2 linked regions of the Drosophila melanogaster genome follow. The protein of the gene in region 1 interacts with the protein of each later gene in a pairwise test. Each region holds a gene or a part of one and is shown on either strand. Other genes may lie near its edges.

Region 1 (7,119 bases):
CTAGGGTTCGTCTTCATTTCAGCCTGCTTCATTTTTGGTTCTCATGCGGTTTCTTCATCTGATTTCAGGACTCGGGCACTGGAACACCGGTTACAATGCGCGTCGATGCCAAGGGCTTCTTCCTCTACTGGGTCGACCAGAACAACGAGCTGGATATCCTTGATATAGCCACCATACGCGACGTTCGCACAGGACAGTACGCTAAGCGACCAAAGGTGCGTATACTTCTTAAAAAATGCATCCGTGGCGTATACTTGATTTCTACTCTTTAGTCGCTCCTTGGGTAGCTGGTTCTTGGGGTTTGTCAATAGAATCAATGCCAGATGGGAGAGAGCATTCTTCGCTGATTTTACCATCGCATTCATCCGTCCTTGTCATAATGGGCTTTACTTCGCAGGATTCTCCTCCCTTCTTCCTTGAGCAGCAGCATTTACCGCAGCAACCACAAACTTCTGAAATGCAAAAATAAAAAAAGAAATAAGTCTCTGTTTTAAGCACGTAAATTGAGCAATGTAGGCGGTTGTTACTTTTTCGCGATGCACACAAATACCATAGTAAAGTATAGCTAGTGTATATTAATCTTTTGGGCAATATTAATCTTTTGGGTAAATGCTTCTCACTGCTACCTGGCCTTCTTGGAAAGCCAATTACTGGGTCAGGTATGTGAAGATATTTTCAGAGGATGGGAGCAAGGGTGAACCCGCCCAATTCCCCGTTTAGATTTCCTAACCAAGTCACGTGCGCCGGGCCCGGAATCGGAATAGGAATCAGTATCCCCATTGTAATGTGTGCGTTTGGCAAGAGTTTTCCATAGTTAGTTGCGCCTTCACGGCTGTCACGCTTTTTCAGCTTAACACAATTTTCCATTTATTGTTGTGCGGATTCGGAATACCTCTTTTTTCCATGACGCTAATACACACATATATCTTAGCAATGAGAAGGCAAGGATGGTTCGACTCCTGCTTTTGTGCAATTGACCAGCATTCTATGTAAGCAGCTTGGCCCTGAAGAAGTCATTCGAAACTTTCACTATTCCATCTGGACAATTTGCGGCACATTATGAAATTAAAGTCCTACAAACGCTGCTCCTCTTTTTTCTTGGTCCCAGCCATTAGGGCAATTATTCCAATGGGGAAATCCTTGGGCGTCAGAGCCGCTTTTTCGCCATGCATAAATCATGTTGGTCCTCCTAGGGCAACGCCCACCGCTCGCGGCCCCGATAATAGTTGCAGTTGTTGCTGTGGAGCGCGGCAGGCCCAAGGCCAAAGGCAAATGAGTTTGGTTTTCCTTTCAGTTTGCCCGAGGCAAACTAACAGCGCCGGAAAAGTTTGGAAATGAAAGCGGTCTTTGCGGGACCGGAGGAATTTAAACAATGAATGTTGACAACGCTCTACAAACCTAACCGCTAAATAAGGCGTGAATAAAAGATAGGCCAGTTTTGTAGGTTAAACTATCTGGTTTAAAATGAACTTATTTCCAATATTCGGATAGATGAAATTGTAGAGTGTAGAGTGGTAGAGTAACAATTCAATCATACACATTTAGGGTACATAAATGTTAAGAAAATTTGTGTTGTTGCCAACGAAACAGCTTTATCAGAATTAATGAGAAAAGCTGTCTGTCTCGAAACGAAAAACCCTTTGGCAAGGAATCATTCATTAATTACTCGCACGAGTTGGTGGGCGCTGACCACGCCCAAACACACACTCGCAGGCCCATGTGTGATTAACAGAAAGCCACGAAAAGCATAGCATACATTTAAGAGCAGAGACCCCGCCTTCGCTGTGTGCATTAATGAATTGACTACTAGTCCAGGGCTCAGCTTGGGATTCGAGTTTATTTAAAGGACGCAATTAAGATCGCTTTAAATTAGCACAATACCGTTATGACACAAAAACTTAGGCACAAGTTACAAATGCGGACTCGGACTCGTTAGACATCACCAAAACACAGTCGAAGCGGGGTCATCTGCAGTGACCATCACTTATTGTCAGGCTATTGCACAGCCTTGCTAAAAGTGAGTCCAGATCCTTGGAGATTTTGACATCGCCTTGTCGATTTCTTCTCTGCAGGATCTGCTGCAAGCTTCGCACTGCCTGGACTCTGGCGAAATGAGTTTGCATACGTGGATTGCTACAGAACTGGTTGTTGCACTGGATTGGATCACACTTATGGTGTGGGCTCGGGTATTTGAGGTCCTTGCACTCCATGTATTGCCGGTGACGCATTTGGCGGAGGTAATCGCGCACCTGGCGCTCTCGATCCCGCCGGCGCATCTCCTTGATCAGCGGAGTGTCCTCTTCTTTTGGCGGACAACAAATCTCGCAGGGGCAGTCCTTTTCACTCCGGTTGTCCTTGGTATTCTTATCCTCATCCTTATCTTTCGGTTTCTTTTTACCCTTTCCCTTCTTATTCATGCCTTTCTCCTTACCTTTGCCCTTGTCCTTGTCTTTTCCCTGGTTTTGATCTACGATACCGCTTTTCCCGTCAGGCTGGTTCTTGCCTTTTTCTCTATCGCCATCAGGACCACCGAAGTCGCCGTCACCATGGTGACTTTCTTCGGTCCCGTGAGTAGTATCTTTACTTTGGGGCACTGGAGGACGGTCCTCAGAGGATCTAAAGTTTGGCTCTTTGGTCTTCTTTTCCTTGCCTTTTTCCTTGCCTTTTTCCTTGCCTTTTTCCATGCCTTTTTCCTTGTCGTTTTCTTTGACTTCGTTCTGTTTTGCCGGTTTTTTTTCCCCTCCATCTTTTTCAGATCCCTTGTTTCCTTCTCCATCACCCTTTTCGTGCTTGCCCTTATCGTTCTGTCCACCTTTTTCACCGTCACCGTCGCCGATACCTTCATTTTCATTGTCACCATCACCCGTTTTCCCTTTGTCTTTTCGCTTGTCTTTGTCAATGTCCACGTCTTTGTCAATGTCCACGTGTATGTCAATGTCCACGTCCTTATCCCTACCCTTGTCCTTATCAACTGCCGACTCACCATCTCCTCCGGCGCCATCCGGAACGAACTCGCTGCAACCCTGTGCAGGTGGATCTTTGGGATCCCTGCAGCACTTCTCCAGCGCTTCGCAGAGATCATTCTTTCCATTTGGGTCTTGAACGAAACAAGTTACCAGCGATTTGTACAGTTCATCGTAGTTGCGGGGCTCCGGTTGTTTAAAGGCCTTTTGGTTCGCCATCTCGCGTTGGAATGCCTCGTTGTCGGGCCGGGGATCCATCTTGTACTTTGCCCACTCGTAATCGGTGCACTTGCTCTCTGCCTCGCCGCATTTCGGGGGGCAGTACCAATGCTTACGTCTGAGGCCATGTTTGGGAGGCTTTTCCGGCTTCGCCATGTCCATCGCCTGTTCTATGCTGATCGCTGGATAGACGGCGCTATCGTCAAAAGGATTGCTCGGATCCGCTGGCTGAGGACAGTGAAGCCAGGAGAAGACATTGTTCGACTTCAGTTGGCGTTTTATGTTTGGCATCCTTTCGAGCTTGGCCTTCAGACATTTTCGATTTAAAACAAAAGCGCCAGGCTGGGGGGGCTTCTTCTGAAGTTGCCATTTAGGCTTTATGTTGGACTTCTTCGGCGGTTTTGGAGCAAGACTAGCCGCCTTTAGGCTCTTTTTCAAAGCGCGGTCATAGAGGACGGCCTGTGGAGACGGGTACTGCGATTTAACGCCATACCACACCAAGGATTCCTTTTGGGGACTGTAGTTCCACACGGTCAGCACGTCTTCCTTGACGTATTCTTTACATTTGTTGGCCTCCATGGCATTTTCAACGTACTTCAGAGTCTTGGCATCGTCACATTTGGATATAGGCGGTAGAATGCTGGGGTATGTTTCCTCTAGGTGCGGCTTATGGGTCTTGCAGTTGCGCCACCGCATCCACTGATACAGGGTAAGTGGTTTCTCCAAAAAGGTGTTTAGCGGGTCGGGTTCCTGGCACACAGAGAGCTCTTGAATGCTTTGACCTGCCAAGGACCTCCTGGATCCTCGGGGCTCCGCAGCCCGTGTGCCCATCATTGCGGTATCGTCTTATTCCCCAAGCTTGGAGTGTTTATCCGATTCGGGTCCAATATTGTTTAATGGTTAAATACGGTTAAGCTCAATCTGGGAACCAAAATAAAACAGGCTTTTTTTTTAAATTTAGGTGTTGTTTGCTGAACACATGATAAAATACTGAGAATGGCTTACAAAAAATATCAGCATCTTCCTTTGAAAGGGCTTTCAGAGCCGACTGAGGAATTTACATTCCATAAACTTAGTGACCTCTAATAATAAAACAGGGTTTCCAAATGCTTTTTTTTAGGGAATATTTATTACTCAATTGTCAAATTTTGAAAAATACACTTACAAGCCAATTATACTGACCAAAAAAAAAACAGTTCTCAGAAGCACTTGCACATACGGTTGGCGATTCGCTGCCGGAGATCATCGAGGTTGAATATAAGCTCGTTGTTTACGATCCTATGACGTTCCTTTCCAAGGAGCCGCTGCAAGTGTTGAAGAGCTCTCAAGCACTCACAGTATTCGGATATCTTGGGATCTAGACAGAAGCAGTTGTCGCAGCTGATGGGATCCACCTTGTGCTGGGGGACCAGTGGCTTTTCACTAGTGCAATCCATGTACGCCCGGTGCCGCATCCGCCGAAGGTATTCCCTCTTTTCGCGAAGTTTTTCCTCGGCCATAATCGATTGCATCTTCGGGGAAATTGGAATCTTCGTGCCATAGAGGCAGTCGCAAATTGTGCACGCGCAGCCCACTGGAGGACAAGGTGGGCAGGACTCTTTAACTTCCTTCTCGTCAACCTTCTGGGGCTTTTCCTCGCCTGTTTTCCCCTTTGGTGGTTTCTTGCTCGCCGGCTTCTTGTTATGCGGTTTCGTACTTGACGGCTGTGTCGGCTTGTCTTCCACTCCATCCTTAGCTGAAGGATCTCCTTTCTCCTTGATAATATCTTCCTGAATCGATATTTTGTCTGAATCCCTGGAAATAAAGGAGGATATGTTGTGAGTGGACGTATCTGTTGTGTTTTCGATCGGCGGCTTCGGTTGCTTGCCAGGATGTTTGGGCTTCAGTTGTTCATGATCAGGATCAGCTATATTTTTCTTTTTATTGTTCTGATTCGTATCGTTATTTTTATCCTTTTCTTTGCTCTTGTCTTTATCCTTAGCGTTGTGTTTGCCTTTATCCTCGTCTGTGCTTTTGCCCTTATCAGTGTCCGCATCCTTGTCTTTATCCTTCACTTTATCCTTGCCCTTATCCTTTTCCTTTTCATTGTCCTTCACTTTATCCTTGCCCTTATCCTTTTCCTTTTCTTTGTCCTCCTTATTCTTCTCATTATCTTTCCCCGTGCTCTTACTTTTATCGGTTTCCTTATCTTTTTCAGTATCTCCAAGATCGTCACTTTTCTTAACCCTTCCTTTTTCTTTGTCTTTTCCCGACTGAGATACACCTTCAGGACCAGATACACCAGAACCCGTTTGGCCATCACCCTCTTTTGTGTTGTGTGTGCCGCCTCCACCGCCAGTGCCCCCTTCTCCGACTCCATATTCATCTTTCGTTTCCTTGATCATATCCGGACAACACTTCGCCATGGCAACACATTCGGGATCTGGTTGACCCTTTTCCTCGAAGCAGGCTTGGAACCGCTTATACAGCTCATCATAGTCGTGCGGCTCTCTCTCCAGTTGCACTTTCTGCTCCTGGAACCACTTGAAGAATGCTTTGTCATAGGGTGGCGGGTTCAATTTGTACTGGGCCCACTCAAAGACAGTGCACTTGTTTTCCGGCTCACCACACTTTGAAGGGCAGTACCAGTGCTTACGTCGCAATCCGTGCTTTGAAGGTGTCTCCGGCTTCGCCATATCCAGAGCTTCTCTAAGGCTAACGATTTGATTAGTTGCCGCCTCCACTCCCAGAGGATCCATCGGATCTTCACGCTTCTCGCAAAAAAGCGTATTAAAAGCCTCCTTGGGATTAAGTTTCTGGAGTGCAATGGGCATTCGTTGAAGCTCCTCCTTGAGGGTCTGCCTGTTAAGGATATATGGCTGACACAGGGAAACTGGTTGTGGAGGTCTTTTTGGCTCTAGTGGAACCGGTGGCTTTGGAACTGGTCTCCTGGAGCCGTTTGCATGTTTTAAGCTGGTTGTCAAAGTCCTGTCGAATTTAACAGCCTCTGGTAACTTTAGTCCATCGGCCACTCCATAGAACTTGAGAGTGCTCTTGTGCGGGCTTAATTTCCAGATCCTGACAGCGTCCTGTCCCTTAGTACTGGGATCCAAACAGCCTCCCTGATCTACTGACTCCGACAGATAGTTCCTGGTTTGGTCGTTACTGCATTTGGATACTGGAGGTCGAATGCTGGGATACCGCTCCCATTTAATGATTTTTTCCGCTTTGCAATTCCTTTGTCGCATTAACTCGTATGGTGTGTGGATAATATCAGTGTCCAGAGTCCCGATATCAGAGGTGCGTATGGTTCGCTTATTGTGCGATCCACGGCGAGAGTCGATCGACTGCTTGTTGCTCATACTTTTACAATTAGCGACTGTGGAATTAGCTGGATTTTGAATATAGAGCTCTGACCTATTTTGGTATCCTTAGGAATAAATTTTGTAAATCTAAAAAAAAAAATGTATTTTCCCCATCTGGTTCTTACAACTATCTGATCTGTGCCCTTTAACATAAGACAAAATCATCTGACAGATAGCGCGTGGAGTACTTAATATACAGCAAACTATAAAGCAAAAGTCAAAACCTATGTTTTTGTTGCTTGTTTCTATGAAAGAAAATAGATTTGAAATCAGCAATTTTCTCAACAAATAATTCCTTTTCATAACTTACTAAGAAGTGTCATTTGGGCTGAGTTTTATTTTATTAGCACCTCGAAAATCAATAACTGTGTTTGAGCTGGCTAAAATTATCACGAGCATCCTGCGGCCCCGCCCCTGCTCTTTGGACATAATGAGCTTTCTTAAAATTCAAATTTCTGGCAGAGCCAAAAGGATTAGCAGCCAAGGGACCCGTAGGATTGGGAGGCACTGAGTGGGCGGCGAACTGCGCGTGAGTGCTGAGCGCGAAGCGTGAGAAGCAATTAAGATAATCGCCGTAGTCATTTCCGCTTTAC
Region 2 (8,054 bases), 6.9 Mb from region 1:
AGGGAGGTTTCACCGGCTCCCGTCTTCAATATATTCACACCTCGAGCCAGAAGGTATTCGGCCAGCTATAGTCCACTGACCACGGCAGCCAATGGAGCCACTCTCTGTCTCACGCCTCGAGTTTCGCAGCTGCGGCAGGAGGAATGCGCAGATCTAAACAGCCGGGAGGTTAACCATGAGCGGGAAGTTCATCGGGAAATACAAATTTCGCAGAGCTGGGAGGATCTCACGCTGGTGGCCGAGAACTGGTCGTGCAAATCGGACGAGTTCTCCAATCCCCTGCAGGTCAGCCTGCCACCCACCGGCACCACCAGCTGCTCCAGTCCCAGTCCCACAAACAATCGCGCGGGCATGAGATTACCATACTCCCCGTCGCCGACGAGACGTACTTTCGCCACCAGGCGGTCGATGTCTCCCATAGCCATGAGGCCATCCCAGCTGGGACCCGTGAAGAGAAAATTTGAGCTGGACGATAACCCCACTCAGGGCAGCAACTGGAGCGTGTACTCACCTCCGCCTGTGAAGAAGATATTCACGGAAAGGTAAGATATTGAGTAGTGGGTTTTGAACCTAAGTAATTCTGGGTGGTATCAAGTTAAGTAACTTGACCTTAGTGGGTTGATTTTGGAAAAATAGTCACCTCAATCATTTGTACTCAGTAAAATAGGCTTTATTGCACCTAAAACATCAGTTTTGTTAGTATTTTAGCTCGAATTTGCTTGAAGTCTAAAATTATATTACTTTGGGCCTCTTGTAAAATTTAAATTTAGATATTTTCGGCCAAGTTGCAGTTGTTGAAGCGGCTATAAATAATAGCTTTGAGGTACGAGTAGCATTAATTTAATTATATTAGATTGGCAATAGTATATGTGCAAGTAAGTGTGTTACTTGCTGAATGATTCGAGTAAGGGTAAAATTAGATGCTAGTACGAACATTTATCTATGTTTTCATGCTTATTCATCACTTCCCCTTCCCATTTCAGTCGCGGCTCCTCACCGGTGTGCCAATCGCCCTCGTCGGTGTGTCCCAGTCCCGATTCCGGAACCTTTGACGGCCGCCTCACGCCCAAGTTGTTCATCTCGAAGCTGTGCACAAGCAATTCGGTGAGCGGAAATGGGATAAATAACAATAGCAGCAGCTCGGGATGTCCGTCGCCTGTTTCCGCCTCGCCCGGAGGTGTTGGCAGCGGTCCCAATCTGGAGGCAGCCATGTGCCTCGTTTCCGGCGGCAGTCAGAGCCAAAGCATCGACGAGGGTATCTCGATACCCGAATCGGAGACGCACTCCTGCCGCAGTCGCACCTCTTCCATAGTGTCCACCGCATCGTCCAGTACGCAGGTGCTGGTCAACGACCTGGTGGATGATGCCACTCTGATGGACGATGCCAAAAGTGAGACCTCATCGATCGGTGGATGCTCCACCATTAGCATAGAGTCATCCTCCTGCGATAGTGGTGCCAAGACGGCTGCCACTTTCCTGAATCGCCTGGTGGTTGATTCCGATGGCGGTGGTTCGCCGCTGGCCCAAAAGAGCTTCTACATTAACAAGCAGGGATTGTCGGGCGCCAAGAAGTTTGTGGTCAATCACGAGCGAACGGGAGCCGTCAGCAAAGATGTGCCGCAAAAGCTTTAAGAACATACACAGATTAACTTAGTTTAGGGGTCGATTTTAGGAAATTCTAAGAAATGCTTATAATCTCAGGAGCCAAAAGTTAATCATTGCTGCACTTTAGCTGATTTGTTTTGAATGCTTTAGAAAATATTTTCGAATAAAATTGCATAGCTTGATCATTTTTAAGTTCTAAAACTCAACCAAAGGTTTTGTTATAAAAACCACAAGCAATATTTTTTTAGAAAGAAAATTGAATTAAGAATACCTTTGGTGTAATATGTAAAGGATTAAAAATGGTTTAAAATGTATATTTCCCGTAGTGTTCAAAACAAATCTTCGTGGAAGAGACAAAAGATAAATTAGTGGTACTTTGATTTTTGTTTAAGAAAATCGACCCGAAATAACCAATTACACACACACGCTTAAGTTGAGAGTTTCAAAAGATCCTCCGACTTGCTTAACTTTAGATCGTAGCTTTGTTGTACATAGTTAAGTTGTTTGTCTGAAGTTCTAAACCATCTTGCATATCATTTAACGCTGCGCACTTCCCTTCACCCCTAGAATCAATCGGTTTTAATATGTTAGCCTAAGGTTCACTATACTATATATAGCCAGAGTTTATTGCCTCGATCTTTGTGTTATAGAATGTTTTCCCATTTCCAATGTTTCGGTTAATAATCGACGTACATTAGTTTTGTTTTTAGTCGCCACCTCACCCCTTAGATATTAGGAAGAAAACCCCAATTTTGCCAAATATGTTTATTCTATGCTTATGTGTAATAATATATCCAGCATTATATTGCCTATAATGTGATCCAATTTAGCGCGGATATCTGCGCGTATCCCACAAAAACCTTACTGATATAGTAACGCATATATTATATAGATTTACGATCCGATTCTAATTATCGTAAGCGAATTTACATAGTTTCAAGAAAAAAAGTTATACTTAAAAAGGATCCAAAAAGAAATACACATTTTTTCAATTGATCAAATTGTTTGTTTTCATTGGTTGGCTTAAACAATTAACTACTATATAAATAATTAAATAAATATGTTAACTAGATTATAAATAGCGACTTAAGTAAAAAGTATCTCGCGGGCAGTGAACTTGACCATATTTTATGTACATAAGATACTAAACCTAAAGCAAGAAAGTGCCTATTCAAAATGAGTATATTTCAGATAGAAAATGCACAATTCCTACGGCCATAGCATTCATTACTTTATAAATATTAAAAGCAGGTATAATTTATATTATTATATATACAACTTTTATGAGTATGCCTAGAATAACGTCGCCCAGCGTAATATCGTGCCAGCCACATGAAGCACCTGCAAGCTCGAGTAAGTATCCACATACACGATATGCACACACACGCACCGAAAAGTTCGAACACCTGGGTAATGAGAAGCCGAGCATTGCTCCCCAAATCCCCAATCCCCATTCGCAAACAGCGACATACTGGTTTCCCCACACAGATAGGACACAATGCACATGGCCAGATGCTCGTGCCTTGAACACGGACGAACCAATCCCGCAGACCAGAAGATAGAAGCCAGGGACCGAGACCGACCGAGACCGATAAACCAGGCCGTTTCCACACGGACCAAGTCGAGTGGGTGTCTGTGGACGTGTGAGGGGATCCGATACAAACGAGTTTTATAGCAAAAAAAAAAAAAAAAAAAAAACAACAAAATAAGATAACTAAGCGCTGCAGTCACGATCGCCAATATTTCGAGACCGAGAGACCAAAGCAATCGGGAGCCTAGCCCAAAGCATTCGAAGCGGATCTGGGAACCTGGCTCCATATATCACAGGGGCAGAACCCCACTACCCACGCCAATGGAATACAAATTAGAAGAAAACACGCTATCCTAGGCAGCCAAAAGTGACTCAAAAGTGATTATATAAGTCGGATGCGAAAAAATATAAAGGTGAGTTTGTCTCTTCCTGTTTAAATATGGTTAGTTATTTAGAATATGTATGTATGTATAAGATTATCTCTTAATTGCTGAATGCTTTAAATTTATTTAATTTTATTTGAATTTAATAATTATTTAAATCACAGGATGAAGGATGAGAAACATGTTTACGTTTTCAAAATCGAAAACTAGTCAAATTTGTCGTATATGGCTTATCGTAAAGGCTTATACTAAACAAAACGCGAATATTAGTAATTTTTCACCTGCAAGCCATTTTTTAACACTCCATAAAAAACGATCGCGGGTTTTCAGGCATTTATGGGCATTTTACCGAAGATCGCCCTGAAAATGGAAAATAACCAAAGAAGCGGCCAATAATTAAAGTCAATTACTTAGATATATGTACATATGTACGAAGGTACATATGTATATACTTGCATAAAAAGGAAACCAACAACAAAAAGCTAAAAATAAGAAGAAAAGCAAATGCGAATAAAAAAAGTTGAAGGCGCACGGTTTTACTTTAGCGCTGCTGCTCGGACGTCAATAAATTTTTTTTCGACGTCGACGTTGACGTTGACAGCGGCGTTGGCGCTGGCTACGCCGTTGTTGTTGCCTTTTACGCTTTGGTCACGCTGCTCCCTTTTCGTTGCTCCTCTACCCCCTCCCACCGCGCTCTCGCCATGCTTCCGTACTCCCACTCGCCCACTCTCTCGCCCACCTCCCCCTTGATATCACTCTCCAGCTCTCTTTTCGCCTCTCTGCACGGGCGTAAGCATTTGCGTCGAAGGGGGTTATTTGCCCCAACCACAATAAATACTTTAAATTTTTAATCCTACATTATCGTTCCTATTTAACAAAAAGCAAATTATCTTTTTTTTGGCATTTCATTGAAGATTAGATCGTTGTTATATACAAGTATATATAGTAAGGAATTCCTTTCACTCCTGGTAACCTCACCCCTTCTCATGTCCTGCCTACGCCCCTGCTCTTGTGAGCAATCTTGAAAATCGTGAGTTGTTGTTGCTGCTGCGCCTGTTGCTCCGGCTGTAATTGCATTGTTTTTGTTGTTGCCCTTGTTGTTGTTGTGGGGCATTTTCTTTGTTTTTCGTGTTTCGCTCTTGCGTGGCCCCAAGAAAAATCAAGTTAACACGCCAATGGGCAGTGGTGGGAAAGGGGGGCTAAAGGCTCACGTTCGTGCACACAAAAAAAAAGCCTTAAGCGCTGCCCACATGGTTGTTGTTGTTGTTGCTGCTGCTGCTCTGCTCGCTTCGCTGATTCACAAGCCGGGCAGCGCAGTCGGCGTCAACTCGAAGCTCGACTTTTGCGGCGTTTTGTTGTTTTTGCCGAGAGGTTGCTGCTCGGCAAGCCGCAAATCGCGAATCGCGAATCCAGTTTCTTCTTCACTTCTTCGCACGGCAGACGCAGCGCCGAGCGCACAAATTGCGGATAAAAAACGAAAGAAAGGAGCGAAGCTTTGTAAAGTGTGAGAGAGGGGTGTGTGTGCAATCGCAGAATTCATTCGATCGGAATCTCCTGGGTTATCAATGGTTCGTATGCGACTTGTCCAGGATATTAATATAAACCAATACAGGCTATTCAATGTGATCGATGGAAATGTAGTGCCCTATAATATATTCTTTTTTTATGGTTTGAGAGGTTTTATTGTGATTATTCGATACTAGAAAGTACGCTTCTTGGAAATACTGATAAGTGCCGATTTATCCATAGTAGAATGTGATTTATATAAAACACGCCTACATGTATGCAATGTTTTTTTCTGATAGTACAATGATAGTGCAATTCTTACGTTCCTTTCTTAAACTTTTCTAAATTGTTTATTGTAACATTGCAGATTTGATGGAGCTGGCTCTGAATAAACCATCATCCTGCGTGGACTGCTGCAAGGACTGCACTCTGCTGCCCTGCTGTTCTGCCTCCGCCTGCTGCGACGCTAGCTGCGACGCCGCCTGCGGGTTAATACCGCCCGATCCAGTCAGATATGAGTACCAGGAGCCCGAGGAGAACTTCATATCCATTGATGATGTGAAAATCAAGAGTTTCCTGTGGCAAATCGGCCAGCAGCAGAGGGAAAAGGAGTTGGAAATCAAAAGGATCATGGAACAAGAGAAAAGGGAGAAAAGAGAGAAGGAAAGGCGGGAGGCCGAAAAGCGAAGAGATCAAGAGGTAATCGAATTGGACGAGGAGGAGGCTCAATCTCCTCGGGGTCTCATAATCAGCGCAGCCAGGAGTCTAGCCCATTGGAATTCATCCATTAGGAGGGTAACACCAGATATCGAACTGATTCCCAGACGGGTGCACAGGGTTGTCGCAGAAATCGAACTGAGTGATAGTGATCACGATGAAGATAGTGAAGTAGATGAGGATGTAAGTCTTCCATCAAACGCTGTAAGCTGCGTCCTGAATGAGCAGAGACAGGATGGAAGCCAGAATCCACAGGAACTGGTGATCATCGTGCCCTCCGACCAGGAGGACGAACAGAAGACAGACAATGTCATCAAGAGGAAATCTTCTGGGTCGAGGAGATTAGTAAAGAGGCGTCCAGGTGCCAACAGAAGGGGAAGGCATATGTACGAATGTCCTGACTGCGGGAAGAAAGTGCAATCTAATTACAATCTAAGACGTCATATGATGATCCACACAGGTACGAAACTTCGCATAAAATATTCAAATACCTCCACTTATCACTTTCTACTAAATTTTCCCCAGGTGAAAGACCATTCCCTTGTGATCTGTGCGAGCGACGTTTTCGGGAATTCAGCGATCTTAAAAAGCATCGTCGAAGGCACTCACACGATCCACAATTCATTTGCATGATCTGTCACTTGGGAGCACCTTTGGAGCAGGACTCTACAAGGTGTGCGGATTGTGAAAGCAAGAATCTTATGGTAAAACCTCAACCAGAGGAACTGGGCGAAAAAACAACGGAGGAACATTCGGATGAGATGGAAGGGGATGATGACGAAATAGAGGAAGCGGCTCTAGAAAATGAGAAGCAGCCACAAGTGGCAACACAACCCAGTTTAATGGTTACTTTAATACCACCTATTCAATCTCCACCGGAAAAAGTTCCTTCACACACGCAGCCAAGTCGCCCGCCACTTCCTCGCAGCTGCAGCAGTGCCAACTCCTCATCTTCCTTGAGCAACGATGGAAATATAGCTGGAAAGTCCATGAGTCGCACTCGCAGATCTTATCCGTGTCCTTTGTGTCATCGTCCTTTCGGAACTCGTCATAATCTTAAACGCCACTATATGATCCATACTGGCGAGAAACCATTTAGCTGCTCAAAATGCAGGAAACCCTTCAGGGAGTGCTCCACGCTCAAGAAACACATGGTCACCCATGTCAGGGATCGCTGGTACAAGTGCCTGAGGTGTCCCTCCAAATTCAGGGACTATCTGGAGTACTCGGATCACAAGAACAATCATCAGGATCAGCTGAGTAGCCGCAAGTCGTCCATTTACGAGAGTGACGACGATGGCGACAGTTCTGTGGAAGATTGCCTAGAGTGCTGCGAGTGTCAGCAACGATTCACCGAGTTGGATGCTTATACGGCCCATCTTAAAAAGCACGACTTGGAGTTGTACGGGATGAGCATTGATGATGTGGCGGACGAGGAGCAGGATGACGTAGATGTGGCATAGAAAATGTTTTGAGCCCACAATTAATATTAACTGCGCGAGAGTTGTAAACTCTTGGTCATTCTTTTTAATGCATAAAGAGGATTGAAAATCCCATATTTCATATAAATTAGCTATTAAGGATCATTAAAACATTCCTTATTAATATATTCATATCTTTTTAAAGTGTTTTATATCACTATTAATTTATTCATTCATATTCTTTTTTAAGCACTTATAATACACTTTTGAAATGTAAAATGTAACGTGCGCCATAATCCAAGAACTGAATGATGAGCTACAGCAAAAATTCCTAAAGATGTACTTATTTATAAATATAATATTTTTATTAAAAAATAAACGAGTTAAGTGCACAAGAGACGGTGAAATATACAGAAGACAGTCGTCAACCTGCCGGGGGTCGAACAATTACAAAGATTGAGCTAAAATCGATTGATGTAAACGTTAACTACAAAAATAAATAGTAAAAAGCGTAAGCGTAGGAAAAAGTGACTAAGATTGGGGCGCTTGAAGCGGGAGAATCCACATAGTGACGATCTTTAGATGTCCAGCAGCACAGGCTTGGTTTCCTTGGCGCACTTGAACACCGATCGCATCATCTTTAGGAATCCTGTGTCTTTGGGTTTCTCCAATCCGCGCTGCACGCGATTCTTCATTACCGAAATAAATTCCTTGTTGCTGAGTTGGTTGTCATCTGAAAGAGGTTTGCCGAATGAATTAAGATTGTTATTCTAATTACACTCAATTACGAACTTACTATTCTCATCAAAGATGGTAAAGACCACATCCACCACATGATCCGAAAGATTGACCATGGCCACCGTTTTGGCCACATGTTGCAATGTTTGTTGG

Evidence for each region. Proteins that work in one complex are often made in the same cells at the same time.
Region 2: the proteins of CG43755 (region 1) and CG4496 interact in a two-hybrid assay, tested with the Drosophila melanogaster proteins (one large-scale study listed by BioGRID).

The regions. Positions count from the first base shown.
Region 1 is NT_033779.5:325,610-332,728, forward strand, and holds CG43755 (uncharacterized protein), read right to left. Parts: upstream 4,153-7,119; 5' UTR 4,017-4,152; coding exon of another isoform or gene 4,014-4,016; coding exon 1,965-4,013; 3' UTR 1,820-1,964; downstream 1-1,819. Other genes in the region: Plc21C (phospholipase C at 21C), read left to right, coding at 69-215; CG31921 (uncharacterized protein), read right to left, coding at 4,382-6,523.
Region 2 is NT_033779.5:7,184,980-7,193,033, reverse strand, and holds CG4496 (uncharacterized protein), read left to right. Parts: upstream 1-3,023; 5' UTR 3,024-3,549; intron 3,550-4,965; exon of another isoform or gene 4,966-5,087; intron 5,088-5,392; 5' UTR 5,393-5,397; coding exon 5,398-6,202; intron 6,203-6,267; coding exon 6,268-7,205; 3' UTR 7,206-7,554; downstream 7,555-8,054. Other genes in the region: CG4497 (uncharacterized protein), read left to right, coding at 1-542, 984-1,632; MICU1 (mitochondrial calcium uptake 1), read right to left, coding at 7,742-7,896, 7,960-8,054.